Drosophila melanogaster: one gene and its partners. The protein of the gene in region 4 interacts with the protein of the main gene of each other region in a biochemical or structural test. Each region holds a gene or a part of one and is shown on either strand. Other genes may lie near its edges.

Region 1 (9,635 bases), on a different chromosome or scaffold from region 4:
CGCCCTATCATCGAACTACCTCACGTCCTGTATATCAATGCTCAGCTGCCCCGCGAACATCGGCACAAATGGCGCTTTCTATTCTCATCGAAAATCAACGGGGAAAGCTTCTCGACGATGTTGGGAAAAGTGCTGGACAAAGGACCAACGCTGTTCTTTATTGAGGACGAGGATCAATATATATTTGGCGGCTACGCGTCCGAAACGTGGTCCGTGAAACCGCAATTTGGAGGCGATGACAGCTCATTGCTCTACACCTTAAGCCCTGCCATGCGGTGCTTTTCGGCCACAACTTATAACAATCACTATCAGTATTTGAATTTGAATCAGCAGACTATGCCGAATGGCCTGGTGAGTAATGTTTATAGCTAATTGATTGATTGCTTTGCTAAATGTTTATATTTTTCGTATACAGGGCATGGGCGGTCAGTTTGATTTTTGGGGCCTTTGGATTGACTGCAGTTTCGGCGATGGACAAAGCGTTGAAAGTTGCACTACATATCGAGACTACGTGCAGTTGAGGTGAGTGTAAATTAAAATCTTGATTATGTTTCACCTTACAGACCACTAGATTCTATATTTTAATTCAACATTATTTTAAACAATTGTGGTTAATCTACCAATTATTTATCGTACCCAAGTAAACGGAAACAGTTCAAAATACGAAACATGGAAGTTTGGGCCGTAGGAGACTTACCAGTTAAAGAAGAAGACGAAGAAGGCGACGGTCACGTATGTCAAATTAAACTCAATATTATATTAAATAAATAATCATATCTTTAACCCATAGAAACGTTCTGTGCTGGATGGCAATTTGGAAGATCGGGCCATGTTGGAAATTGCGGGCAAGAAAATGCACTCGGATGGATTGCGTGAGCCCAACATGGATGATTGATATTATGTGAAACTATTTAAGGAAAAAGTTTTGTTTTATCATCGAGAATTTGTGAGACCATGCCCGATATGGGTGTGCAGTTAATGATTCAATTCAGTTTCCTTAGCTTTTTTGCAATCCCTATCGAACACACAAAAAAAGTCCTGCGAACAAAAGAGTATTTGTTCAATCCATTCCTATAAACGTTTTTGTTTAGGTATTAATGTTTATATATACAATGTATAATGGATATAGTTTATGAAATACTGAGAGTATTGTTGTTGCGTTTTAGATCTTAAAGTGAGAAAAGTAAATCATTTAAATGATGTAACAAAGAAGCAAGCATAATAAGCAATGTTAATTCGTCGAATTTTTCCCATTTTTATCCTACGTCAATAAAATGCAAATTAATTGCTGAATTTATATCAATGTCTTTAAAGTTAAATGTTTGAGTATGCCAAGGTAGCATTTACCTACAAATAACCTAAATAATTAAGTGGTTTATAGAGATAGAAAAATGAAATGCGGTAAGAAAAAAGTGAAAATTTAAATAACGATTTATCCCAAGACATTTTATTTATTCCATTGTGTGAAACGTTTTTGAGAAAGTGATGAAGAAAACTTCAATCATTATTTTGGAATTTTAGGTGGGTTTTAGCTAAATTGTCTTATGGTTTGCATAACAATTAATTTTAATATTTTTACTCTTAATCACTAGTTTTAGATATCGACGGCATAGCCTGAAAGAGTGATTCCAGGTGCAATCTCCTCTTCTACATAGGATCCTGCCTCCTCGAAGGATCTAGCATTGCTATCTTCGAAGCTGCGACCCACGCTGGCTGGAGATTGTCTCAAGGTCGGAGCCCTCTGCTGCTGGCCAAACTTCCTAGACACACCATAGTTTCCCGATGATGAATTATAGCCCTCATCGTCTTGGTACCGGCGACCTGTCGAGCGTAGCTTGGGCGGCTGGAACGTGTGTTGGTCACCACTGTCCGATCCGCGGCGATTGTTAAAGTCATAGGTGTTGGTCTCGGATCCCCTCGGATAGTTAGTCTTGCGCAGCATAGCCTTGAAGTTGAATGGTGGATCCTCAGAGTTCTGGAAAGAAAATATCTGAAGAATTTCCTTAGGAAATTGACATACACTTACATCACCCTCGTTGCGAGCCATGTTCTGAAGTTCTCTAACTGGATCCGACGGAGGATACGAGGATCTTTGCTGATAGTTGCGTTGCTGCTGGTTCGGATTATTGCGATAATAGTTGGATGAGGGCATTGGTGGAGGAGGAGGTGGAGGCGCCGCATAGCCCTTCAAGGAGTTGCGCCTGGATCCGGATCGATGTACGCCCCAGTTCTGGTTGTTATAGTTGCTGTTATAGCTGTTGTAGGCATTGTTATAGGCATTCATGTTCATCTGCATTTGATTTCTGAAAAAAAGTGTTAGAAACTTAAGTTCAACCTTTGAGTATCTTTGCTAACCTCCTCAGCTGTTGGGGATCTCGGAAGTAGCCCTGATTGTAGATATTGTCGCTCTCGCCCATGCGATCCCAGTTGGTCTGGCAAGCCTGCTCCTTCTTATAGGCATTGTAGGTCAGGGCACAAGAAGTCATCGAAGGATTGCGTTGCAGAGGGCTGTCCCAAGGCTCATCGTCCTCCATGTGCTGCGTTAGTAGCTGATTGGGGAAGGCTTGGCGGGAAATGGAATTGGCCGGGTCCACCATATACTGGGTGTCATAGAAGGGTATCTGATCCAGGCGGAATGGCATCTTTTTTATGGGCACTGGCAGTGGTCCTAGCTGCGAGGAGTTCACTTCGCGCATATTGATCCTCTCGAAGGGCACAGCCCGAGTACATTTATTCAAGCCAGCCACCATTCGTTGGTTGTAGATGTGGACCTGGTACATAATATAATATATATATATATATATATTGGATTTGAAGATAAGAGATTTGAACTCACCTGCTGTGAGAGATTGACAAAGTCCTGGAAGCGAGCCGCGCGGTAGTGCAGGAGGACCTGGAAGATAGACTTCTCGCGCCATTTCTTGGCAAACGGACGGATAAAGTCGGCGGTGTTCTCGTTTAGTTGGCCGGACTTCTCGTTGACCAGCGGAGGGAGGCGGACGCGGTCGCGGAATCCCCTGAAGGCTGTGGGAAAATGGAAACGGAGGAAGGCCGTTAGAGTAACCCATTTGAAAAGCGGTCGCGGCGGTGGACGGTGGTGGTGAATGAGAGGGAAGTCACCTTAATTTAATTAAATTTTCATTTCTTTTCTACGCAGCACTTATAATTCATCTCTTTTCGCAGGGGCCGTCGATGTTAAGTGTTATGTCTCAGACAGCTATAAGCCGATTGGTTGCATCAGATGGAGAACACAACCGCCCAGCGGGATGGGGTGGGATGGTATCCACATTGGACACCACTAAGCGGCTTAAGTGGTTTGCCGAGGCCCTAGACTAGATGATAGCTGGTTGTTTGCGTTTTCTACATTTTATTGGTAGTCGTATTACGATTAGTATCGATCGATATAGTGATATAGTGTGTATAAATGGTATATAGTAGGGGCCTATTCCTCGGCGGAGGCCTGCTCGATTTTGGCTATTCGCACCGCTGCCAGAGCCTCATCCATTCTGGCCTCGAGGAACATCTCCTCCGCCTCCGAGGGCGTCTCGCTTATGTCGATGTGCTCCTCGTCGTACTCTCTTAGCCTATCCACCTGCGTTTTTTTACCTTTTTGTATTTTGGACGCGGCCACATCATGATGCTCCGGTCCCTTTTTGCCCACTAATAGGGAATTTAAAATTAGATTTCATACCATATACTGTATAAGTATTATTTATATCTTACATTTGAAAACTTTGCCGCCCTTAACTCGTTTCCGTGCTAGCAAAGCTCGCATCATGGACTGCACTTTGATGACCTTCTTCACCTGCAGCTCATACAATCTGAAAGCAATTGATAGTACTTGCTTTTCTCAATGCGTATGAATTGATAGCTCACCTGGCTAAGAACTCATCGTTATAGTAGCGCAAAAACACCTTGGTCTTGCCCAAGGCCCAGCCTTCCATCTTGAGGCGCAAGAATAATAGACGACAGTTATCCTTGGTCATTTCCACGGGCTCATCAAAGTCAAAGGCAAGGAATTGGTATCTAATACGAATATTTTAAATATTTAGAAATCTTTAAATGGAAACTGGAATGGAATCGATTACCCACCGCCTTAGGAACTCGTCGAATGGCAGACGCGAGCTGAATCCCTTCTGGCGAGCAATAACAGTGTCCAGAACTCCCAAGGCCTTCATCTGTTGCTGGACGACATCCGAGTGGAAGGATCTGGGCTTGTACTCCAGATCAGCGCGAATGCAGCGAACGAAGTGCACGCCGAGATTTGCATTCTGGCTTAGCATTTTGAGCAGGGTCAGGCAGGTGAAGCGGAAGTTGGCCGCCAGGGTACGTAGATTGTTCACTTGGGAGATGCATCCGGCACTTAGGGTATTCAAGGCCTGAAATGCATAGTTTACAAAAATATACCAAATTTAGGTTAGCTAATAAAAACTGTGACAGACTTACATATGACTTCCGTTCAGATTCATCCTTATGCTGCACTGCCTCGAATGGCATGGTGAGATTGCCAGCCTTGGTCAGTTGATTGGTGAACATGAGCATGATGCTCTCATCCAGCGAGGAGCGGAAGGTCTCGATCATTTCCGGCGGCACAAAGTCCCGGTTGATGTCGGTGAAGGCGCGCGTATCATAGATGATGCGGCCCGTGTAATGAGCCACGGATATTTCAGTGGCAGTGTGCTTCTTCACAAACTGGCTGTGCTTCTCCGAAACGCGATCTGTAGATGGAAAGTGGTTAAATCACATATCCAAAGTGGTGCCAGAATTGGTTGTATACCCATAATCAAATCCTGATCTTGACAGGAGCGTGAGGCATCGTCAATGATGTAGAACAGGCCATCCGGTTTGGTTAGCAGATTATCCAGAGCTGTCTTGTTGTCATAGAAATTCAAGTTGATGGTGTCAATGTCTTCAGCTTCCATTTCCAGCATTTCGCTGATAAAAATACGTTGATTGTAGTGATATTGCATTTGCTCGTTTAGAGTATTGATCATTAGTTGCTCCAGACCATTTCGATTAAAGCACTCAAATCCAAACATGTCGTGAATAATGATGGCATTTGTGTCTCCGCTTAAAAAGTTATTTAAGCCACATTGTTAAACTTATGAATTTGTAACTTTTTTTTTAATATTACTTACAACACAGCCCGTGGGAAGGACATGTTCATGTTAATCCTGTTGATGATAAAGTCCACCAATCGAGAGTAGAGCGTGCTGGCCACCGCATCGCGTGCATCCCTAGCTTCTTCAGTGGTGTACTGTCGCCTCTCGGCGATCCCGCCCTTGACCATAATGAAGTTGGTCAGAGACCACATGAACTTTTTCTCATCCACACGGAGGAGCTCGGCGATCCGGGACACAATGTCCGTGTTCTCCACTTCCGCATACTTTCCGTTCTGCCGGAAACGGATGTTGCCAATGTTCAAAATGGCAGCCAAAACTTTGCGAACGGTCTCCAATTGCTTGTGATTGAAATCAATGTCCCGCAGGATGTTCTCGAACTCCCTGTACCTCTCCACATTGCCCTCGGGATCATCACGACGATACTTGAGTTTCGATGGCGGAACCTCTGGCGGAACTCGCAGATAACGATAATTGCGATCAGCCTTCAGATTGTACTCCTTAAGCTGATTTTGCTGATTAATAAAGTCGTAGAAGTAGTAGAAGATGTGGAAGTTGTGCTGGGTTCCGTCCGTAGTGGCCACTCGTAGTTTCTCCAGCATATACATATTAAAAACGGCCCCACTCATTTTGCCGGTTTTTCCAAAGGTCAAGCAATATTGTAGGACACATCTTGTGGAGTCGTTGTTTACCGGAGTTCCTGCATTCACCAACATCAGGATGGCCTTGATGGAGCTCTCCACGCGCCCGGTGGCCCCACGATTTCCATCACCCAAGTAGCACAGATGCTTGATTAGCAGCCGGGCATTTGTGGACTTGCCCGAGTAGCTCTCTCCGGAGAGCACGATGTGTTGCGGCTCCTTATGATGCAGCATATCCTGGTAGGCGATATCGGCCACCGAGAAAATATGCGGCTGGTTTTCCGAACGCGACTTGAAGCGATACTTGGCATGGAACTAGAGAAAGGATAAATATAACATATTTAAGTATACATATTAGATGTTTTCAACTTACCTCCTGCGGAAATTCCTGCTTGATTTCATTGGAATTCAAGGATAAAAGGATATCGCCAATGAAACTGTACGATTCCCCCATCAAAATGCGATGACGCAGTGACTCGATTATGTTTTCATCCACGGGATTTTCCAAGGCAGCCAAGTCCTCCGGATACATCTTTTCCGGCTTCTCATCGAACCTCTTCACATAGCCGCGGTCCACGAACAATTCCGGCTCCTTGTACAAAGTCTTTACATCCCTAGAGAGTTCCAACATTTCTGCGATGTCCGATCGCATCTCGTCCTCGTTTTCGATGAGCTCCGTGAGGAATGGATGCTCCACCATCTCAACCATCATGGGCCGATTTTCGGCATTTTTCTCCAAACTCTCGGATATAAAATCATTGATCTGCTGCGACCAATTAGTGGGTCGCATTAAGGTCGGCGGTGGATTGCGAATGATCTGGAACATGGCCCTAGTGGGATGCATGTCAGCGAACGGTGGCTTTCCATCGGCCAACTCAATGGTAGTGATTCCCAAGGCCCAGACATCGGCACGAACGGTGATGTCCGGTTCGCGGGATTCCATGGCGGACACCACTTCGGGAGCCATCCAGCAGGGAGATCCAATGCAGGTGCCCCTCTTGCCCAGAGTGGAATCCACCTGACGGGATAAACCGAAATCGCACAGCTTGACCCGTCCATTTTTGGTCAACAATATGTTATCTCCCCGAATGTCCCGATGCAGGACATGATTACGGTTCAGCTCGATGGCAGCACGGCAAGTCTCCCGGATAATGTAGGCGATGTGCTCCTCTCGCATTCGACGATCCAGTTTCAAAAGCTTGTTAACCATGTCCACTGCTGTTCCCCCAGCGCAGTACTGAAATATTCAAATGGTTTATATAAATTACAAAAAATTGGATTTAAATTTTTGGAAAAAATTTAATAAAATATTAACAAAATGTTTTGACTCACCTCCATGACAAACCAGATCTCATCAGGTCCGTTTGGCTTCGACAGCTTGTAGACGCCATAGAACTCGGGAAGATTGGGATGGTCGCAGTAGTCCCGCAGAGTGCGATACTCCTCCTCGATGGAAACCTGGTGCTCCTCATCGTAGTGCTGAATCTTCAGGGCAACGATCCGATCATTGTCGAGCTCCTTGGCCCGAAAAACCTTGGCATTGACGCCTTGGGCTATCTCCTCGTAGATCTCGAATTTATCCGTAGGATCCGGCAATTGCGCGTACGGTAAATACATCATGACTTAGATGCTTATTCTGAATATTCGAAGAACATGTGGGTTAAACTTGGGAATTGGGTCTATCATAAAATGGGCTTCAAAGGTTTTCTTTTTCAATTTTCCCTCATGCAAATCGCATTATATTTGGGTTCATTGTTGCAAAACACTTAAGAATGGGCATTCTAGAGGTTTCATTGTAATCTTTTGCTTCTAATAACAATTTGCTTTTTCTTTAAAGGTGAAAGTTAAGTTACTTTGGTTTACTTAACGTAAGGATATTTTGGAATGTTTGCTTTGCAAGCACGAAAGATTTCAAGGACCTTTAAACAAATAAGATGCAATTTTGAAATGTAAAATTATAATAAAACCATTTTCTATAAAACACTTAAATAATTCATGTGAAAACGAAAAAGTTAAATGTACGATTTATCCTTGGTAATTAATCCTTCCTAGGTTTGTATTTTGAATCAGCAACTTTGGATAAAGGGATTCTAGGGGGTTATTTGTATTATATCCACTTCACAGGGCTTCAAACACTTAATCCTTCAGGACACACCTTCGCTGCCGCAGATTGGCACACTTATCCTGCAGCTGTGTATTTTTGGTTGCAAGGATGTACTTGTGTGGAACTTCGAACCGACCGCACGCATGCAGCACGTACCGCTGCCGTTAGCCAACTAAATGATGGGCCAATGCAATCGGAGGCTTTTCACTGGCAAGGAAGGAAGCCATTCAATGGGCAGTACCTGGGTGCACACCTTGGACAACTATTTAGCTGGCTAATTCAATTAGCGGCGGCGACATTCACGTGCAAGTGAAAAAAGCGGCGACACAGATGGCCAAAATGCCGAGGTGAAAGGGAAATTGGCAATGCGAGTGAAAGTCAGCTGATTGACAGACTAATTATGCATCTTATTGTTCGTATTTACAAAATATATTTATACGTATTCCAAATGGCTGGAGATTGCTAAACTAGGCATTGCATTCACACACGTTGTTTATTGATGTTTGCCCTATTGCGTACTTTATGTTTTTTTTTCTGTAATACTGATTTCTTTGTGTGTTAAGTTCTGTGAGAATGAAGAAAAGTCTTTTCTTATGCATGTGGCTGAGGCTCCATCGCTCCATCACTTCATCGTCCTTCGTCTTGCGTCCATTGTCCTTAATTGCATATGCTAATCCATTCCTCTACGTGGCACTCCTCGCACTCCACATTACAGCACCATTGGAATTTACAGTGACACCGCTCCGCCCTCCGCTGGATGACCTGGCTGTGGCCACGGCCACAGCAGAGGGAGGTGCATCCGTCGCTGGTCGTGGTGTTCCGATTGCACTTGCGTCCCACGGTGCCTGTGCGGAAATTGGCTCAGATTAGTCATGTTTATGTTTTTCTAAAGATATAATCATCAGAAAAGAAAATTATGTGGTATCTATTAAAATATAAAAATAACAAGTTAATAAAATTAGTGGTGTAAGATTTGCGTAATTAGCAAATGATTAAGTGTTCTCATCAAATGCAATCCATCGCCAAATGGCAGTTAATCCCGCCTACTGGCGGACAAGCAATTAAAAGACCATAAATAAACTATTAAACTAAAGCACAAACAAAGTATCATAATTGTTTGGCCGACGATAATTGCCAGCGTTAATTGCTATCATTTGAATAGACACGACACCGGACACGGACACATGAATCAAAACGCCCGATGGGCTGGCTGCTCCCCAGTTCACTGCTGTTGGAGCCTGAGTTGGAGCTTGAAGTGAAGCTGGAGTTACCGGGCTAAGCCGACGATTAATTATAAATTTGCGTCGTAATTAACACTTTTAAACTGCTGGCAGTTGGCGGGGCAGCAGCGACGCTTGATAATTTGCAAATGTGTCAACAGCAAAATGGCTAACGAAAATTGCAAGTGGCAGTTAGACGTCGATTTCGATGTGAACGTGCCGCAGTTTCGACCGATCCCCCAAGCCAGAGTACAAGCAAGGGGGGAGAAATGAGGGGATACAATTAACCCAAACTCATTTCCAAGCATAAAAAGTAACGATTTTCTTTTAGTATGTTTCGGCCAATTGTAGTTTAGATAACATATCAAAAACCTTTATTTTAAGAATGTCAAATAAGAACCCCCCTCAGATTTTCAGTCTCCGCCACTGCTTTATACAATCCAAACTGAGTTGAGCTGATCCGAACCAATCCAATCCGATCCGATCCAAACTGAGCTAAGCTAAGCTGAGCTGCTGTGCGCATGCGTCGCTGTCGCATTTTTTTCGTAAA
Region 2 (6,792 bases), 3.8 Mb from region 4:
GCTGTTGAACGAGGTGAACTTGCAGCACTAAACTAAACTTGATTTTACAGGATCTAGCAAAAATGAAGCAGGAGCCGGTGAAGCCGCAGGAGGGTCGCGCCATGGCCGAGAAGATTAATGCCTTTGCCTATTTGGAGTGTTCGGCTAAGTCCAAGGAGGGTGTGCGAGATGTTTTCGAGACGGCAACTAGGGCCGCGCTGCAAGTCAAAAAGAGGAAGAAGACCAGATGCCTTTTGCTCTAAAAGAGCAAATCAACAACATGAAAATCTTTACCACACACACACACAGCAAAAACAACAGCATAAACACACACAAACACACATACACACCTTTTACAACAATAACGAGCTGAACAACAACCACTCAACAACAACATCAAGAACAACCAGAACATCGGATACACGAAGCTGCACCACCACCCAACCAGCAACAAACATGAGCAGAAAACAGAGAGCTTGAGCTAGAAGATCAGCGGAGGAGGGATGCAGCGAGATATAAGGGAAGGCAGCACCAAGTAGAATGTCAAATGCGGATTTGATTTTATATACAGTCTAGTGTAGTTATAAACCGAAGTAAACAACAGTAATAACTCTGGCATTATTATTTGTAAAAACTAGGGCAGAGCAGATCAATCAGTCAGCCACTGCAAGCAAAAAATATATATCGATATATGTAAACATATTCAAGTTGTGTCCGTTTCTGTCCACCCCCTCCTCCTAGATGTATGTTATTATTTCGTTAACTGTGTTGTCAAGTGTAGAGTCGGCTGTGGCTGGACGAGATTGTGTCGTATGCGAGGGTGAGTGAGTCAGGTGAATCAGTGGAATTAGGAACAGAATCGGAAACGGAATCGGATGTTGGATCCCGGGGTCCAAGGAGGTCGTAGGCGTCAAGATGAGAGTTATGTTCCCATTAAATCTATCAAATACAGAGAGACCAGGCCGCCAATAGGAGTTGGAAGCGAAACTACATTACAAGAGCCGAACTAAACACAAAACAAAACAAAACAAAAACGATAAATGTTTATTTAACTAAACGTAAGCCACAAATGAGATGCATTCAGTTTTCGCGTGGGAGATGCTAAGAGGGAAAATTTTTGATGAAGTGAAAAACTATTTCGAGCGCATTAAGCGAGTTTTTAATATTTGTACTTTGCATTAAAACGAGTGGAAAACATAAAAAAAAAAAGATACTACAAAACAACCAAACAACTATATGAAGAGTATTTTATGATTTTATAAAATACGATTATACATATAATTATACTATACAGTACATATGTGTATGTCTCTTTTTTTGTATTTTGTACCGTCAATCGTGTAATTCTCACACAGAAGTTGAAAAACTCGAAGATGCATCAGATACAACCAAACTATATTATACTTATGAATAAACAGTACATTTGATCTACTCTTGGTTTAACTAACTGTTTTCTTATTTGGCCGGGCATCGAATTTTATTAGGCTAAGATAATGGATTTAAATCCGGGGAATACCCGCCCTTTAAAGTCAAAACACTTATCTTTAACGGGGTTAAAAAAATCTTTATTGAGGGTATTGTTTTTGTTTATTTTGTGCTTTTGTATTTAATTTTTTTTTTTACATTTAAAATGTACATAACATTATGAATCAAAATGTTTTGGTTTTTCATCGATTAGGTATTAGGTTTCACAATATTATTCCCGAACAGGTATGTCGTTTTCGAAACAACATGGACACGACACATTGCTTTGAACATCTAGTTCCCAAGCCTTTTCTCTTAAAACGTACTTTTTAATCGCTTAACTTTCGCGGCGAAAGCAATTCTATTATATTTCTACCCGCATTTGATTCGTTTTCGTGTTGGAGCTGTTGTTTTTCTTTTTTTCGTCAGTCGATCTGTTTGGTTCGAACGGTTGCAGGATTCGCAATAACAATTAATTATTAGTAATTATGGGTAGTCCATTCAACTGTTTTTTGGGATCATGTAACAAACAGAGTAATTAAAGCCGTGTTAGTATTTTGTTTCCGGTGATGCAGTTAACATTGATGAGAGGAACTCATGGTGATTGCTTAGAGAACGTGATGTGTGGTTTCTTGTGGTAAAAGTAATCAACAGATTTCGTTAAACTAATAATAAATAAACTTAGGCGTAACACGTGTGTCCTTAACAATATAAACAATAGACTTTTCTCAAACTTAAACAACAAATGCATCGGCTGTCGTGGACTTAAATTATCAATTTGGGCTTGGATCTGAAATGAACGCACATTCTCATTCATATTTCATAATTTGCAATGTTCCCGCGTTTTACATACTTCTTAGGTCGATCGATCGATTTATAATATTAGTATACATTAAATTCAACATTTATTCGATTAGTTAAATGTGTGGCTCGTGTAACGTATGTCATGTGCGTGTATTCTGGGTAAATACGTACATACATAAGTTTAAAAATCCTCCAATTCTCTGCCCTTCGCACCTGGCAATTGGCTTTTGGGTTAATCTCCTGGCTAGGATTCAGAGTTGTTCAGATTGTTAGTGGGGGAAGACTCGACCCCTCGATCTTGCTGAATTTAAATGCTTTTGAGCTTTAGCCAATTGCCACACTTGCTTAATCGCTCTCGTCTAGGAATCAACATTAGTAATATTTACTACATAAACATATGTACGTGCATTGTTAATATGTATCTTTTGGATCGGTGCTTAAACGTATTGATATACTCTATCGCTGATCTACTGCCTCGCTATCCTTTCCGGCCAACAACAAGTACTTTAAATAGTTTCCATAACAAATAATAAATAAACCACTGTGGCCATAACAATTAGTTATCTGCTCCTCGATCGGTTAATTTCTCTTTTGTATGTTGTATCTGATGGGTATGTGCTATATACAAAATATAGCAAACAAAAGTTACTTGGTTTTTGTGGTTAATATTGCACTCATTTCAAGGAATCCGCCTCCTGGTCTAGTTAAGGTTTCGTCTGCGCCGGAAAACCAATGCGAAAATGGATCGGATGCGCCACCAGCGACTTCGTCGCCCCGTGTGAATCTTTTCCGAATTGGAGTCCGTGCCCAGGGCCTTGTGCATTTCCTTGCGTCGAATCTCGCGGACCAACGTGTAGAATGCCTCGTCGATGTAATGACGCAGTGCAGCCGATGTCTCAAAAAACGGGCAGCCGAACTGGTTGGCGAGATTCCGGCCCTCCTCGGTGGTCACGCGTCGCTGCGACTCCAGGTCCACCTTGTTGGCAATCAGAACCAGCGGAATGTCCTCGGACAGGCGGACACGGGTTATTAGTTTCCTGTACTCGGAGGCCTCCTGGAAGCTGTGGCGGTCGGTGACCGAGTAGCATATGATGAAACCTTCGCCGCAACGCATGTATTGGTCCCGCATGGCCGTGAACTCCACCTGGCCGGCGGTGTCAAGGATGTCGAGCAGGGCGGCCTCATTGTCGATGACCGCCTGTTGCTGGTAGGAGTCCTCTGCAGCAGCAAAAAAGAAAAAAAAAACCGGTATACATTTAGTGGGGTTGTGGGGGCTTGTGCCTTAGACGCCTTGCGCACCCTGCGCCTTACTCACCAATTGTGGGGTCGTGGTAGTCCAGGAAACTGTGGCTCACGAACTGAAGGGTGACAGCTGTTCGGGTTTCGTCGTCGTTTTCAGAGGGCGTTGGGAGTGGTGGTTGGTGGAGTTTCGTGGGTGTCGGTGGTACGGGGGTCAAAACAAAGCGTAAAAGAAATTGAGATAATTTATTGATTTTTCGCAGCCCCAATCAAAGTGCGCAGTGATAACTCGGCATTTTCTTTCGTCTAATCCATGGCTAGAATAGCTCACCTGACTTGCCAACGCCACCGTCGCCCAGGATGACAATCTTATAGACCCGCAGACCGCCGCGCATATTCTGCGGCGGCACCGGAGGCGGCTTGATCAGGCTCCCGTTGTCCCTGTGGTCGCTGGGCACCCGCATCGAGTCCGTGTCGGCGGCGCTGGTGCAGGACCTCAGCTTGCTGGATCGCTTCAGGGCCGCACAGCCGATGGACATGTCGCCGGCCATAATACCGCTGACCTCGCGGATTTAGACCTGGTCCGTGTCGGTCCTAGTCCCGTTCGATCGGATCACACGGAGAACCTCTGCACCGCCGTCGCCAATTGTGTATTATTTTCTTGTTTTTTTTTTTCTTGGTCGGGGTTGGTTCCCTTCGAGATGGGCGCGTGACGATACTGGAGACTGCAGTGCGCATGAATTTTAATGACATGCGATATTTAAAAAAAAGCTAATTTTTTTAATTTAAATTATTTACTTGTATTTAATACTTTGAGCACTTTACATTTTAAATCAAATAAATCAATTTGTTCTGTTGTATGGATAGCGCATAGACATAAAATATGAAAAATCCACGAGTAACAGAAAAAATTACATTTGGGTTTTCTAAACGTTTGCGTTGCTGAACTGTTAAAATTAAATTCAATCTATCGACACAACACGATTTAAAATAAAACATAATTATTAGAATTAAATAAATGTATAAATATTTATGCGTAAATATAGTTTTTGAGAGCTGTCATGAGTTTTCCATCCAGAATAATAAAATTGAAATAGCGGTGCCTTTACTGCCCAGCTGTCATCTCTAGCTTTCATCATTCCCGCCGGATCTGGCAACGCCACTGTCTCTTTATAAATAATTTTCCCACGGTGCGAGCGGTATTTGCATTTAGTAACGTGCTGTTCGTCGATCCAGATCGCCCGTTTTGCCCGGTCCGCTCGAAAAGGAAAAACAAACACTCTCCATTATATTGGCATAGGTTTTAGTGCCTTTAGCGAGCAAAATGTCGGGCGATGTGCAGCCGCGTAAGCGCAAGGATAAGCGCCGAAAACGCGGTAAGTCCCTGTTACGGTACTTTTACTTACAATCATACTCGAATGGACCGTTATTTGGTGTGAAAAACGGTTTTGTCTTTTCGCCGCCGCCGCGTAGCAAGCAGTTCATTTCTTTTATTAGCATAATAATATTGTCGAGTGCCTTTAAAAATAACTTTGCCCTATTATATAAAATTATACATCTCGCCTGTTTTCTGTCGCTATGCGTGTGCCGATCGAGCAGGAAAATATATATGCATGACATGTGTGCGGGCGAGGAAGGCGGGAGGTAGACCATAAAGTGGGTATTTCGATCGGTAGCCAAAGAAAAAGGGCATTGAATCGGTGTGCAAAAATCGAGAAAAATCAGAGAGAGTGGTTTTCCCTGATTTATTTATCTTTTTCCCAAGGCAAACAGATGTTTCGTTGTCCCTGGGGTATCCTCTTATTGCTATCTCTCTCTGCCACTTTTTCTCTCTATTGCTCTCTTCTCTGCGTTATCTTTATCTCATTGGAGAATGGAGAGCTCCGTCACCTTCTCGGCAAATTAATTCCAATGCAACAGAGATCGAGATTTACATACACAGATACTACAATAGATACCAGATAATGATGCTTCCGTAAAGATTCTGGGGCCATTACACCCACGGCACCGAAATAAGTAGCCACGATGGTGCATATATGTGTAAAGCCATTTAATTTCACTTGGCCAACTGCCCAAGAGCATGACTGGGCGGCTTCTTTGTTTATCGTTGCGCATATTTAGGCATAAACAATTCCCCCCAACCGGCGCCGTCTTATCAGCTTGTAATGCCGGTATATGTCTCATTGTAACTAACTTTTCGTCTAGATGATCGCAAGTCCGAGGGCGATGTGACTGTTCTGCGTCAGTCCAGTTTTCAAGGTAGAGAAATAGATACCCCCCTATATGTATTTTTCCCAACACACCCCGGAATGCTTTGCCAAATTAATTGAATGTCTCGCTCAGTTACTAAAACCAAGTAAAACACTCGAAGGTGGATTCAATTAAACTGCTTGTAATCACATGTGTTTTTTTATTATTCACTATCATGCAAATGTCGGATCTCAGATGACGACGAATCTTCGCACGGCGTTCACATTACAAAGATGGGAAACGAAGATCTCCACCTGCATGTGCACCACGATCACGGAACTGGCGGTCACTGGTGCGCCAAGATTATATTCTTCGCCCTGATGGCAGTGCTCCTCGGTTTGGTGGGTCTGATCATCATGGAGAATCGCGGACTGGAGGATCGTAAGTTATAGAATTCTTAGAAATTTGAATTGTACTGAATACCTGTTTTATTTTAGTGGACACTCCTCTGTCGGAGTCTAGGTTCTCGAAAGTTTTTGATGGCTGGGTGGACGAACATCGAGATGAGCATGATGGTCACGATGTGCAGGAACCCTCGGGAGAGGCGTTAGATGATCACGATGAACACGACGACCATGATGATCATGAAGACGAAGGTATGTTAATATTAACTTAATATAAATTCTTTTAAATATATGAACACTTTTTAGACGAAGAGCCCCTCACAGAAGAGTTAGAAGAAGAACTGGAGGAAGAGGAAGAGCCAACTGAGGAGGATGAGCCAGCGGCAGATGAAGAATATGAGGAGGATGAAGATGAGGAGAACAATGCGGGTGAAAACATAACTGCCGAGGATGCGGAGGAGGAGGAAGAGGAGGAGGATAACGATGATGAAGGCACCGTAGAGGCAACTGTAGAAGCTACCACTGAAGCCACTACGGAAGCCACTGGCGAATATGAAGCTGAAGAAGATGATGAGGACGAAGCAGCAGCAGATGATGATGCAGTAGAGTCCACTGAAGCGCCGCTCTCGAAAGCTGAGGAGGTATGATCCTTAGTTTGTGAAAAGATTGAATATTTCCAAAAATTAATTAATTTCGCAGCAGGAAGATGATG
Region 3 (6,812 bases), 2.5 Mb from region 4:
ATTTCTGGCCTTTCGAAATGTCAAAGGAGATTTTTTTGGGGTCTGGGGTATGAGTCTGTGGACGGTCCGGAGATGGAGAAGTTTTGTGGCTAACCGCAAAACAATTAATTTTGATTGCCTTCTAAGCCCTTCGAGGGAGGAACGGAGCTACGTGCGTTCCACACCCTACTTTCTAATCCTTTCAAGCAAGTTTTGTATCTCGGCACGTACGCTGCGCCACGCCCACTTTTCAGTCCGCAAAATGCCCGCTCCCACACCGATATTCACCTGGCATTCCCGGACTCAGCTGAACTGTCATGAATTGCAGGGAATTTATTTTACCGCAAGGACTTTTGCTTTTTGATCCTGCTCGTGGAACCGTCCGGGGATTTGTTTTGGCCAACAATGGGGCGAGGCCAAGAATTTTGTTTGTTTGTCTTCGATTTAACTTAAAGTCTCATTTCATTGATGAAAATTTCGCACTGTTTAAAAGGGAAGTGCCTCAGCGCATTGGAATGCGAAAATAAATATTTAAAGAATGCCACTTCCACTTGATGGCGTCATTTCAGCGAGCTGGGCGAGCATTTTCGAGAGAACAAGCGGAGAAAAATAAATCGGAAAAGTAGGGGACTCGAAAATCGAATGCGGCGCCCAAAAGTCGGCCATGGAAAGTGATTCGACGAAAAACGGGAAATACGGGAAATGTGAAATGCAAGCATATTTGGCTGAAAGCCCAGGCCAAATTGAGAATATGGTTTAAGTTGATTACACAAAAAAAAAAAAACTGCAGCTAACCGAGTTATGCAATTTTTGTTGCTGTTTCCGGCAATCTGTTTGCCCACTCGCATTTAAGAATCATTTTCCAGATCACTTAAGGGCTCTTAAGCACACCGCATCGAACTGATGCCGCATTATTATGCGAGCGTGCAGCTTGAAATAATATAACCGACATGCAATTTAGGGCGAGTGCAGCAACGGAACAGCCATAAATTTAATGCAAGACAAACAATATGACGTCTGGAGGGGGCGTGGCAGGTCGGCGCCATGGGAAAAAATCTCATCAACGAGCTGCAGCGAAACGAGGAGAAATATTGAATGCAATTTTATTTGCCACACACGCAAAGTGTGTGTGCAGCGCGGCAGCAAAGCAACAAACCGTTTGGCGAACTGCCGGGTGAATTATGGAAATGCATCATATTATTCCGCAGCTCCTGCTCCTTGGCCAGGATCGCCTCCTGCAGGATAACCTGCTGCAGGATAACCTGCTGCGAAATGTGTGAGGGCGTGCGTGTAACTATGCTACTTACTGTCTGTTTGCTTCTGGGACTGCCATCGCCAGACACACTCAGATCCACTGGAAAGTATTAGGAAAAGCTGTGAAGCTCAACAGAAAGATATAGAATTATGTTTAATTGCACTGGAAAATATTAGGAAAAGCTGAAAAGATCTACAGAAAAATAAAGGAAACTTGTTACCAATTGATTTATACTTTTTTGAGTTGCTGTTCTCCATTATTTATTTGCAGATTTAGATAGCACACAAACTTAGATGTCTTCGAAGTAATAAATTCATACTTAATTTATGTATTATTTATTATAAAATAGTTTATTTGTTAAGTGATTTTCAAAAATTTCGAGTGTATTACTAAAAGCCACGTGGCCAAAACAAGAAGATATAGCACAAAAAAAAGACAGGGGAAGTGCCAGATATATCGCAACGCGGCCAGAGAATCGGGAGATTGGAGCCAGGACGAACCTTAAAGGATGCTTTTACTCCGAACTGGAGCTCTTCGCCCACCGCATGCAGCTTGATAAAAGACGCAGTCATGGTAACCCACCTGCCACACCCGCCTCCTGCTCCTGCTCCACTCTTTTCCGCCCGAAAACCTCATCTGGTGTTTGTTTGTTTGTTTGGCTTCGCCTGTTTACGTGCAGTCATGCGAAGCTCCGGCCCAAACCTCGACTTTTCAGCTGATGCTGGAATCTGCTTCAATTGTTGTCTGTCGCCAAAGGATTCCCCTCATCCCTGCCCTCCTCGGCAGCCCAACAACCCGCTATGCTCCATCTCATCAAAATCCATTTTAAGATTTTTGATTTAATTCCGCCTTTGTTTGGCAAGTTGGTTACTGCTCATGCCCTCTGTGTATCTAGAGTTTAGATTTGCCTGGGCAAATTTGTTTATGCCCGTCAAAAGGCTGACTCTGCCGGAGACATATGAACATGTGAAGGACCCTCTTGGACTGTCTAGCAGTTCGTTGTATCCCAATTGAAGTGGAGCAGCCAGTGGAACCAGGAACCCTTTTCAATAGCAAGTTGAAAATGAAACAAACTATTGAAATAACACAATCATAGGCTCTTTAGGTTTACTTGAAATCAGTTTAATGGGTATCAGCATTTGAAAAAATTCGGTACAAGTGAAAAATTAATTAATTGAATTCAAACAATTACAAGTATTATGCTGCGTTACGATGAAATAATTGCAATATAAAAAAATTAGGCAATGAAAACACTAGTAGTAGATTTCAGATTTATAGCAAGTGTATAATGGTAGAAGGAGCAGTAGATTTATATGCAAGATGTTTCGAGTCGCAGCTATTAACATATATTGAAAACAGCAGCTAATCAATGTCAATCGAACTGCAGGCTAAACTGAAATTTTCCAAATCAAATTACGCACGCTGCATTGGGCAGCACGAAAGTATCCGCAAATGTGCAGCAGTTTGTGGCCGGAAAAGAGCCCGAAGAGCAAGTGGCAAACAATAGCTGTAGCAACCCAAATCAAATCATGGCAAATTAGTTGTAATTCAATTGCCGACAGTCGCCGTCTGGATCGTGGCCCCCACCTCCACCACCAGTCCCACCTCAGCACCAGCCCCTACATATGTTTGGGTCCTAATCCCCTTAGGCGAACTTGGCGAAAACTTGTTGATACTGTGTTTCAGCCCTCGACCTCCACAATTCATAACACCACAAACGTATATATAAACCTATAGAAATATATATATATATATATGTGTGGATAAATGTTGCACGGACAACCTCCAGGCGTATCCATGCGATGGGTGACAAATATTTGACGTTTTAGTCTAATTAAATTAGCCACATCGCCGCTCGGCCCTCGGGAAAGGTATAAATTTCTGCGCGTTAGTAGCAGCGTGTAAATTTCGCAGGTGGCACACGTTCGGGCTGCGTCGCGGGTTGTCTCTCGGCGGGTTTTCGCCTTCAAAAGAGCTGAAATTCAGATATACATAAACTACAACACACATTGTACGGGAATTCGGGAGTTCGGTGGCCAAACGTATTGTTATAAAGTATATGCCAGCATACAATTCATAGTCGCAGTCCTCTCACCTAAGCCGGTCACATGAAATTCCAACGTCCATTGTGCCAGCGAGTCGAACAATTGCACACGTTTTTATGTGCCGGAATGCAAGAAGTACGTATCCGTACGCTTGGTTATAAGTGGCTTAAGTGCAGTCCGTGAGCCAACTGAATTACGTGGCTATATCCTTCATTCATTGTGCTCCTGGTTGCTCCTGACTGCTCCTGGTTGCTCCTGGCAGCTGCAGGTTGCTCCTACCTCTTCCGTTGATTGTCAAGTTGGGGCTGTGTGTGCGGAGCTTGTGGTCTGTGACTGCTGGAGTTTCGATTCAACTGGCTGCCATCGCGATAAGCCCTTCGTTTTTATGAACTCTGTAAAATACTCAAAATTTGTTCTAGTTTTAATGAACTCCAGTGCGCTTGCGACAAAATTATGATACTTCGATCGGTGCCAGGCAGAATTAACACATCTCGGCTGCAGAGGGAGAAATTAGAGTGAAATATCATATGCATTTTACATCGTATGTTAACCGAATAGTTTATACTTGTTATAATATATACAGGTGCAGATATAATCCCATTTCGATGGGCAGTCGCAGTATGCACCTGCTGTGCAGGTGAACAGCTATAAATCCATTTATAAACGCTTCCCATGAAGTGGCGGATAAAACCGAATTTATTGCGACATTTTTATGTCCGTCCGCATTTTCGCCCGTCCTCCGCACTTATATTTCTATTAAGTTAATTAAACAATGCACCATCGGGGCTCCTGGGGTAGTCAGAACCACCTTTTGTTGGTACCGGAAGTGTTTTTTATGGAACAACCGCCATGATGATGGTTCCGAGTTTTTGCCTGCCGCGCATACAAAGCACTTGCATTTTTTATGACCAGCCCAAACACTTTTAAATGCATCTGCAGCATCCGCATCCATATCCGCATGCAGATCCGCATCCGCAGGAGCATAAAGCCAGTTTAAAGCAAAAGCATGTAGACGGAATGCATTTTTTCTTTGCGGATTATCGAAAAAAGCTCCTTAAATATTCATTTTGGCATTGTGTTCACACATGCGGAGGAAGGCAGCGGAAAATAAAAATATTTTCATCGGGTGTGGGAAAATATTGGGAAACAAAGAAATTAATTCTAATGGGAGAAACGATTGGCGATGATGTGAACAATCCAATGAGAGCAGCAACAACTAATACAAACTGCAGTTCGTTGCTAATGAGATGAGTGCAATAAAAATGTAAATCAAAACAGAAAGCCGATTGAACAATTGGTCATAAGTGGTGCAATAAGTGCTCGCGAATTTGGTGTTCAGTGTGGCCTTTGGAATTGACCAGTAACAGTCGGGAAACAGTGAAACTGCACAGTGTCTAATCAACTCACTAAATTGGCAAAACTTAAATCTTGCCCATGCAGATGGCACTTAAAAAGGGTTTAGCCAGCTCGGTCAGTGGCGGAAATAAAAAGAAAAACATTATAAACAGCTTAAATAGAAACTTTTTGCACGCCGGAAACCAGAAACCATAAACCAAGTCAAAAACCACCAGACACACACACACACACACCAACACACACAAGCACACCCAGTTGGACATATAACTATGGACTATACAACTATGAGTACAAAAGCAAAATCAACTTGAAAGTTGCATGTGGCCCGGCTTAGTATTGGACTTTTTTGGCTTTGCCATTGTGTATATAAATATATATGCCATATATGTAAATATCGTTCACTTTTCACTGCAAGTGTGCAAAGCCCTGCGACATGAAGTCGGATTTTGAACTCTGAACCCTGGACTTGGTACATGGAATACTAGTTACGAACTGCTGGCGTTCGGTTAAGTGAAGTGCACTAACTCTAGAATGGGTCGCAAAAAGAAGCTGCCGACGGGCGTAAGTAGAAACCCATCCAGGATCCCGATCCAGATCCGTATCCAGCAAGTAGCATGTCTTAAAGCCGCCAGTATTAGCTAAACGCCGCTTACCTTAAACGCCTCCAATGCCATTTAGATGGAAGCCAGACAATCAGCCCAGCATCCTCCACTTTGCACTTAATTTTCTTGTATGTTTATTTTTTATTTATTTGCAATTCCGCATACACGATTTCCCCCTCGCCACATCGGCATGTACGTATGTGGCTCCTGCTCACCTGTCTCTTTAAATTATGCCAGGTATCGTCTGGCGTCAGCCACGCCTCCTCCGCCCCCAAATCGGTGGGCGGGTGCTGTGTGCCGCTGGGATTACCACAGCCTCTGCTGCTCGAGGAGAAGAAGTTCCTGCTGGCTGTCGAGCGCGGCGATATGCCGAATGTGCGCAGGTGAGTAGCGCTTTTCACGCCTCCGATGCCCAGCAGGGAGGGGGGGGGGGTGGGTGGTGTTTCTGTATGGCATCTTGGGCGGGAGGGATACACTGCAAGAAACTCTTACCACAATCAGGTGTTGGATGAGCATTAGTATTCAAAGTTAATGTACAAGCTTAGCTAATGAATGTATCAATCGAGTAGAACCTAATGTATATTGATATATTTAGCCTTCAATTTAAAAGAAATAGTTAAACACACTACCACATTTATCCGAGTGTAGGGTGTTCGAATAAAAACCCTGACATTTTTAGAGGGGTATCACGAGCTCCAATGGTGGCTTCGCCCAGGGTAACACAGGTGTTGACTGGGCTGGGTCGCACAGGTACCATAAATCCCATCGGGAGCCTCCTTGGGTTCTTTGGATGCGGTGCTGGTGGTGGGTTCAATTATTTGCACACTCGTCTGCCGCGGGCCTCAAAATGGTTACCTAACTGGCATCCCGGCAGCCACTTAATAAGCAATATGAGGCCTTCGACCCGGATACTTTACGCTCGTTTACGGCTTTGCTTTAACAAATGTACGATTAATTCCGTTTGCTGGCAATGAATAAGAGATAAGCCAAATTATCCAAATACTTTTCGGTTGCCACTTAAAGCTGTTAACATGCACAATCAATTCGAGAAACGAATCTTATTGAAAAGCAACTTTTCGGATAACTTAAGTTCCCTTACCTGAAAGCACAACTAAACCTTACTTTTTGTTGACATCCCAGGATGTCATTTATGAACAATTCTTTATTGTTTTCATCGGGCGAGTGATACGGTAACAACAAGCAAATGAGCCGTGTCCGGGGTTCCTGTTTCATTTGTGATTCCCAATACGCTTTGGAGGCATGCACGATGTCCATATAATCTTGCATCTAATGTGAAATTGTGGAAGTAGTGGCGAAGTTAGTGCTAGTCTTGGATCTTGAGTCTACATGGAAATACGGCAACAACAAGCAAATGGGCAGTGTCCTGGGTTCCTGTTCTTCGTGTGATGCTCCTTGCGATTTTTAGGCATGCAAGATAAACCTATAAGCTGACATCTTATGTGGGTAGGGTGGCGAAGCTAGACCTAGTTATGGATCTTAAATCAACTTGAATATTGAGGTGCTGACGGTGCGATGTGGGTAAAAGTGAAAGTGTGACGGCTATGACGTCTATGA
Region 4 (6,827 bases):
GAAAAATGGCGCATTGCTGTCGTCGCCAAGCGACAACGACTACGACAACGACAACTACAAACGCTCTTTTGGCCCGATGTTTGCTGCATTGTTACTTCATTTTCATTCTCGTTTTCGTTACCTAGCCATCGCTATTGCCACACCATCACCCACCACCCACCGCCCAACGCCCAGCTCACACCGCACCACCAACCCTTGTGGCATGTCTAATTTTCCAGAGGTTAACATACTTAACTTGTTGGCATGCGTTGCAAATGCGCCAAGGCTGCGTTGCACCAAGCGGCGCCACATTGCGACAATTCGCTGCGGCAAAGGAAATCGTACGGCAGCTGGAAAATGGGCAAAATCGCCGTCCAATGGTGTCCAGTGGCCAACTGTCCAATGGGCAATGTGAAATCCCAGTGGAATGGTCAAACGTTCCGCATTGTAATTGCACACACACACGCATTCGCTGGTTTGCCGATTTGTGGACATTATCTTTAGCACAAATAACAAATGTATTATATGTGAATGATTCCATTTTCTAGGGATTAAGCTAATGTAAATTAAAACATCATTTTCGAGAGCTAAATAAAAATGCTGTTTTAAATATCAGGCATAGATAAGGCAACGTTGCGTATGCGTAATTTTCCATAGGCAACTATGCGTATGAGTAATTTAAAATGATTTTGGCGGATCAGGAATTTGTTTGGTATTTTTTTTTTCAATTATAGGGTTAACAATTCATTTAACTGATTGATAAATAGTTTAATTAGTATAATTACAGCCTAAAATAACTATTCATTTCTAATTCTTATTTTGGCAAGCACTAAAATTTCTTATTCATACAAAATATTTATAATATACACCACTGCATTCACTATACAAATTGAAAGTTTTGATAAGCTCGAAAAGAATTCAAGGGAGTAAATTTGTTGACTTTTTGCCGATTGAGTCATAAAATCCCAGCTAATTCATAGCACTCTTCCACAATTTTCATATTTATTCCATAAGCATTTGAAAACCTCTTATAAGCGTGGTTTTAAAAATATACATATGTTTTTATACTCACATCAGTAATTCGTTTGTAACAAAGTCTACAATTCGGCCAAATTCAAACTCTACGTGATCAGAGTCCAATTCCAAAGTCACCGCCATGGCCAAACGCGATATCCTGCCCATCTTTCCATCCCGCGCCAATTCGGTGATCATGAAGCAGCGCGTTTTGGCGGCTAGAAGGGGCGTGGGTCTCCTCAAGCGGAAGCGGGACGCCATCGATATGAAGCTACGCGAATTGCGTCGCATCCGCTTCGACCAGGACATGCACGGCGATGAGGCGATGCGCAATGCCATATTCTCGATGGCAAAGGCCAATCTTCTGGGCGCCGATTTCAAGCCGCAGATGGTAAGCCGCAGCCACGTGGCAACCGTATCGCTACGCCGCACGGAGATCAAAATTGTGGGCGTCAAGCTGAACACCCTGGAGCTGGAGACGAAGGGCGTGGGCGCTTTTCCGCTGGCTGGTCTCAGCTGTGGCGGTATGCAAGTGAGCCGAATCAGGGACTCCTATACGAAGGCACTCAAGGCACTGGTGGAGTTCGCCTCTCTGGAATACCAAGTGCGAATGCTGGAGGCAGCCTCGTTGCAGACCAACATGAGGGTCAATGCTCTGGAGCATGTGGTAATTATAATTAATTCATATGATCCATATGTTATCATGGATAATCTTCAATAAATATCACTTTGTATCCGCAAGGTAATACCCATCCTGCAAAATACCTATAACTATATATGCGGCGAGTTGGAGGAGTTCGAGCGCGAGGATTTCTATCGCCTGAAACGCTCCCAGGCGAAGCAGCTGGAGGCCAAGATGGCCTTCACCGAGCTGATCAAGACCAAGAACATGACCGACGAGGAGCTGGAGACCTACATAAAGCGAAACATAAATCAGACGCGTCCTCCAGCGGCCGACACACCCTTCGATCAGGAGCAGTTCGAGGAGCGTGAGGTGAAGCGGCGCATGCGGGAGGCCCGTCTGTCCCTAAAGCAGCGCCGCGAGCAGGAGAGAAAGGAGGCCATCAAGCGGGGCGAGCCCCCACCGCCCACATCCTTCATCACCACCCACGGAGCCTCGTTGAGTTTCGCTGGTCGCCAGCGGGATCCGCGAGCCAGCAGTGGTGATCTGTACAGCACCAAGCGGATGCTCCTCTCCTCCGGACCGGAAAGGAAGTCCGCCAGTAATGTGACCGAAAGGAAGTCCGATACTCCTCCGCGTAATAGCCAGGAAACTCAGCGCAGATCCAGCCAGATGTCGAAAGATGTCGTAAATGAAGATCCACCCGAAGAAAGTTAGTTAATCGGACTCACAAATCCAAAATCTAAAGTTGTCCAAAAATTCTTAATTATTTTTAATATGGTGTGCAAATAGAAGATTTATTTTAGGTGATCACTTCGAAAAAGTATAGCAATTTCAGTCGAAAATCGAAAAATATATGGAAAAATTTACCGTCATTGTTATTAATAACGTATACGTATGTAATTTCTGTCTGCTGTATAATATACATGTGTATGTGTGTATGTTAATTCCCCATCATATGCAATGGCAAATGCTATATGTTTGCAACAGCTGACTTTACAGTTCGTTTTTTTTTAACATCGAATGTTAGTTTAACATTTACGTTAACATTTATCCGTTAAGAATAAAATTTGCAACATTTTGAAGTATATTTTTGTCAATTAAAATTTGAACTTAAAAATCGAAGAACTGTTTACATAAACATAAATCACAACCGGTAATTAGAATAAACGGACAATAAAAAAGACATTTGTTTATATAGATGTACATATGTGAGTACATACATAGTTGATTCATTTTTTTCTATTACTGCAAGGGCAAACCTATGCATAAGTTTATTTTTGCAGAAGCTAGCTTCCTATTATTTATAACTTTAGTTACCTGTAGTATGTTGATACAATTTTTGTACACACCTATTTTCGCGAAAAGCGCCGGCGCGACCGTTACAACGGCGAAATCAAACTTATTTTCGCTTTACGAAGGTGAGTGGATAAGCAACAGAAACAAACACATGCAGACGCTGCCGCTGCAAAAGCGAACTTACCCGGTTCGTTCTCGCGAGAGCGAGAGCGGTTATTGCTATTGCTGCTGGCAAAATAAAACCGTATATATGGCGACGCAGCGCTATTTTGAACACAAAGTTTTGAGTCGTCGACCGTTGCGGACGGAAATTCAGATTAGGATCGTGAGTTGTCAGAACAAACAGACCAGACATTGCATATAGAGAGCAGTATTGGGCCAACAAAAAAAAAAAAAAAATACAAAAAAAGCGAAAAGAGCCCACACCCAAGCACCAGGAGCTGCGAACGTTTCGCGGAAAAGCCAATTTCTCAGCGCCAGCCAAAAATCAAGAAAACCAACGAGCAAAAAATTAAACAAATATCTTTATAAAAACCGAATTCGAGCAACTCTTATATGTATTAGCTCTCCCCGCCATATATCTACTATATAAACGAGAATTCTGCCGTGTGCGCGCGTGTGTTTGGCATATTTCGCACAATAGATGAAAAAAAAAACGAATGAAAGCCACAAAAAAATAAAGAAGAAACGCAAGGCGAAAATTTGTATTAAATTCGGCTGAAGCAACAACACTAAAGAAATTTCAGAAACTGCCACGGCGAGAAAAAAAAGCGTCGGCGTCGGTGCTTTGGACGGACGCTTTTCTTTCTCTCCAAGCTGGCAGTAGTTTTTCTCCTCAGCCTCTTCCACCTCCAGTTGACCCCCCGAAAGTAATACCCAACAAACCTCTTCTTGCTTCTTTTGCAGTGTGTTAATTTAGTAAAATATAAAGTTAACCGCGCGTTCCGTAATTCCACTCACACACATACCAACACCCAAGCAGCAGCAGTAGCCGCAGCGGATTAAAACTTCGTCACTCTAGCAACAAACAGAAAAAAAAAACACCTACAAAAATGGTAAGTTTATGGGGCTGGAGAACATGTGCATCTTTATTTTCTGTTTACACAACCTGCGGCCATCATTTTCCATTGAAATTTCCACAGTTTTTGCGAAAAATCAAAGTCAGACAGCGACCCCCAGGGCTATTGCCATTAGTGCGAGCGGGAGGAGCGAATCGCTTCCAATTAGACGTTGTTTATATGGTTTTAACGGCTTTTCACACACACACACTCGCTACACACATCCCAGCACACCAAACACCCCGTCGAAAAGCAGCTGTCCCCGGGAAATTCGTTTACATTTTGCACCCCAAAAATATATCGCCTCACGGGTAGAAAAAACCAGTTTTTTCAACAACCCAATATCGTTGATTTAGAAACAAGAAATTGCGAACACCATGCAACCCCTTGAAAATATGGTAGTTTATACCCCTTTCACAATGAAACATAATCAAAATCCATAAAACTGCATTGAGAAAAAGTGAATGCAATCATTTGAAATTAAGTTTATACTTAAACTAGTATATTTAAGCTGCAAGATTTTCATGTTCTTAACCTGACTTAATCAAATGTTCAACTTTGGCCCCTAGGGTCACAGAAAACAAGCAGCACAATTAAATAGCAATGCCAATAGCAAGAATTTACACACATGTCACGTCACTCGTCAAAATTATTATTTATTTTATCAAGGCTGTCGCACACGGAATGTTGACGCGATCGGGTTCGCCCTATAATAATTCCATGACGTTCGGGTAGAAATACCCCTGGAAACCCAATCAGGCGTGGAAAAGTGGAAACTCTTATCAGCATCTCGAGCAACACCTCATTTTCGAAGCCCCCCTGCTTGCCCAACCCACCACCACCATTTGGGATCATAAATCAATGTGATTTTAGCCAATTTGTTGAGCATTTATGCACACACACACTCGCATTCCTACATAGACGCGTTGCCATCGGCACTTTTATCAGCAATTTTTCAAAGATCCCCGCAAATAATAGAAAAGCGCCCTCCATTTTGCTTATCAGTGGAAAATGTGTGAATATATATTGATGATGAACAACAAAGTCGCCGGTCCCGGCATTATTGGCCTCTCCTCTTTGCCCCGCCGTTCGTTGTTCGCTTGTTCTTTGCTTTCTGGTTGTATTTTTTATTTACCGCACACTTGGCCGCAAAAATTGAGGTTAGACACGGCCCCATGGAAATGGTGAAAAAATTCTTTAGAGGCATTTCTCCTGCTCTTGCGCTCAGCTTAACCGTTTCGACGCTCTCTCGCATAACCGTTTCACACACTTTCTCGTCTCTCTCTATGTGCAATTATTTCGTTTGCGTTATCAGTTCCGTTTTGTGCTGCGTCTCTCTCTTTCCGTTTCTTTCAGCATTTCATTTTTTTTTGCGCCTTGCGCTTGTCACTTTTATCGGCGCCTGCCTTTTCTTGTTTTCTTCCATAACCGTTTCATTTGCCGCATTGCGGTTATTTTGCTGTTTCGCCTTCGCCTTGGTTCGTCCGCTTCGGTCGTTCATTCGTTCGGCTCCGCGTATTCGTATTCGTGTGCGTGTGAGTGAGCGTATGGGTGTGTGTGTTGGCGGCTGCCTGTTCCACTTTGCCTTTTCGCGCAAGAATTTTATTGTAACGGCACAGGCGAACGATGGGGGAGGAGGAGCGCTGCAAATGAAGAAAAATTCCTGCTAGACGCCGCCGCTTAACCACATAATCCAATTTTCTTGCCGCCCTCTTTGCGCTTTCTTCTCTCGTTCGTTTGCTTTCCTCTGCGCTTTTTGATAAGAAAGCCCCACGCCCACTGCGATGCCCACACCCGCGCCACACCTTCTTTCAGCCTCATCTGGTGTCGCCTAATTTAATTAGCGATTTTACAGCTCACGCAGAATGCAAACAGCTTTTAATTAAAATATATCGCATCGCTTTCTACGTGGCCAATTTGTTTCAGTGATTCAACCAACGCTGCTAACTTGGCCCAGAAGCAAACATTTGCCAAGGGTTTTACTGACTGATCTTCAAAGTTTGTTGATCTTTAGCTCGGCTAATTATGAGATACGTTTGTCTGTATATCTTATTTGTTTCCGTTGAAAATGAGCCAACATTCATATAAATTTCCATGAGTCACTGTGTTCCTGGGCTGACTTCATCATATGATCATATGGCCTATGATGAATGCCCGATGATATGTGTGTGTGTCATGTTAATAATGGCAAATGACTGGCTTATGGCTCAGTTAGCACAGTTGTTTGGATCCCGGTGCGAATGCACTTAAATTGTACCCAAAAACCAAGCTCTCAATCTAACCGTCATTCATAAAACCAAACTAAACTCCATGAAACCGGTTGAGACCGGCAAAAAAAAAAAAGCGTCGGCTATACAACGGTAAACCCGGCAAACTTGGCTTTAACATAAAGCCGCATAATTTCAGCCAAGACCTGTTTTAATGTTGTATTTAACTGTCAAACTCATTGGAAGAAATAGTTTTATTCAGCAGAACTCGTTTGTGAATTTATAAATGATTCAAGCCCAAGTGTATTAAAATTATTGTTATCAAAATGTATTCATAAGTATGAATAATATTTGATATCATATTATTTGCAAGTGAAAAGTGATGATCTTGAACTAACTACTATACAATGACCCATCCAATGAGTCACTACCTTAAAAAATGACGGACAAATCCCGATAAATATACGCACAGCTTGAGTCCTGATCCCCCAGGCATACATTTTCGGAAGGCACTGTATTTGCCTTGGATGTGGAAGCTTCCTCGGGACGTCGTGGGCGTCTGATTGTGCATACAAATGGATTACCAATTAGGCATTAGCCAGCCCCCCACTCGATTAACGACCTCGCCCGATTGACTGCCATTAATGG

What was found.
Region 1: the proteins of Cam (region 4) and ninaC interact in a test that uses a peptide from one of them, tested with the Drosophila melanogaster proteins (2 studies listed by BioGRID, with this or other methods).
Region 2: the proteins of Cam (region 4) and Ric interact in a test that uses a peptide from one of them, tested with the Drosophila melanogaster proteins (2 studies listed by BioGRID, with this or other methods).
Region 3: the proteins of Cam (region 4) and trpl interact in a test that uses a peptide from one of them, tested with the Drosophila melanogaster proteins (2 studies listed by BioGRID).

Annotation. Positions count from the first base shown.
Region 1 is NT_033779.5:7,376,147-7,385,781, reverse strand, and holds ninaC (neither inactivation nor afterpotential C), read right to left. Parts: upstream 8,081-9,635; 5' UTR 7,917-8,080; intron 7,398-7,916; 5' UTR 7,382-7,397; coding exon 7,094-7,381; intron 6,999-7,093; coding exon 6,135-6,998; intron 6,077-6,134; coding exon 5,139-6,076; intron 5,071-5,138; coding exon 4,778-5,070; intron 4,719-4,777; coding exon 4,447-4,718; intron 4,380-4,446; coding exon 4,093-4,379; intron 4,027-4,092; coding exon 3,877-4,026; intron 3,822-3,876; coding exon 3,724-3,821; intron 3,661-3,723; coding exon 3,607-3,660; coding exon of another isoform or gene 3,443-3,606; exon of another isoform or gene 3,025-3,442; coding exon 2,837-3,024; intron 2,772-2,836; coding exon 2,356-2,771; intron 2,304-2,355; coding exon 2,027-2,303; intron 1,976-2,026; coding exon 1,595-1,975; 3' UTR 1,438-1,594; downstream 1-1,437. Other genes in the region: CG5149 (uncharacterized protein), read left to right, coding at 1-351, 416-522, 642-732, 791-895; Wnt10 (Wnt oncogene analog 10), read right to left, coding at 8,523-8,710. UniProt on the Drosophila melanogaster protein: Required for photoreceptor cell function. The ninaC proteins combines putative serine/threonine-protein kinase and myosin activities. Essential for the expression and stability of the rtp protein in the photoreceptors.
Region 2 is NT_033778.4:16,105,810-16,112,601, forward strand, and holds Ric (Ras-related protein interacting with calmodulin), read right to left. Parts: upstream 4,209-6,792; 5' UTR 4,038-4,208; coding exon 3,818-4,037; intron 3,620-3,817; coding exon 3,563-3,619; intron 3,466-3,562; coding exon 2,948-3,465; 3' UTR 1,631-2,947; downstream 1-1,630. Other genes in the region: Rho1, read left to right, coding at 51-242; Asph (aspartyl beta-hydroxylase), read left to right, coding at 4,811-4,862, 5,932-6,117, 6,174-6,332, 6,393-6,721, 6,780-6,792.
Region 3 is NT_033778.4:9,750,564-9,757,375, forward strand, and holds the start of trpl (transient receptor potential-like), read left to right. Parts: upstream 1-3,133; 5' UTR 3,134-3,276; exon of another isoform or gene 3,277-3,414; intron 3,415-5,050; 5' UTR 5,051-5,166; coding exon 5,167-5,196; intron 5,197-5,474; coding exon 5,475-5,620; intron 5,621-5,729; exon of another isoform or gene 5,730-6,812. UniProt on the Drosophila melanogaster protein: A light-sensitive calcium channel that is required for inositide-mediated Ca(2+) entry in the retina during phospholipase C (PLC)-mediated phototransduction. Required for vision in the dark and in dim light. Binds calmodulin.
Region 4 is NT_033778.4:12,256,220-12,263,046, forward strand, and holds the start of Cam (calmodulin), read left to right. Parts: upstream 1-3,178; 5' UTR 3,179-3,239; intron 3,240-3,812; exon of another isoform or gene 3,813-3,820; 5' UTR 3,821-3,966; coding exon 3,967-3,969; intron 3,970-4,056; exon of another isoform or gene 4,057-4,594; intron 4,595-6,827. Other genes in the region: Vha36-2 (vacuolar H[+] ATPase 36kD subunit 2), read left to right, coding at 1,136-1,660, 1,736-2,332. UniProt on the Drosophila melanogaster protein: Calmodulin mediates the control of a large number of enzymes, ion channels and other proteins by Ca(2+). Among the enzymes to be stimulated by the calmodulin-Ca(2+) complex are a number of protein kinases and phosphatases.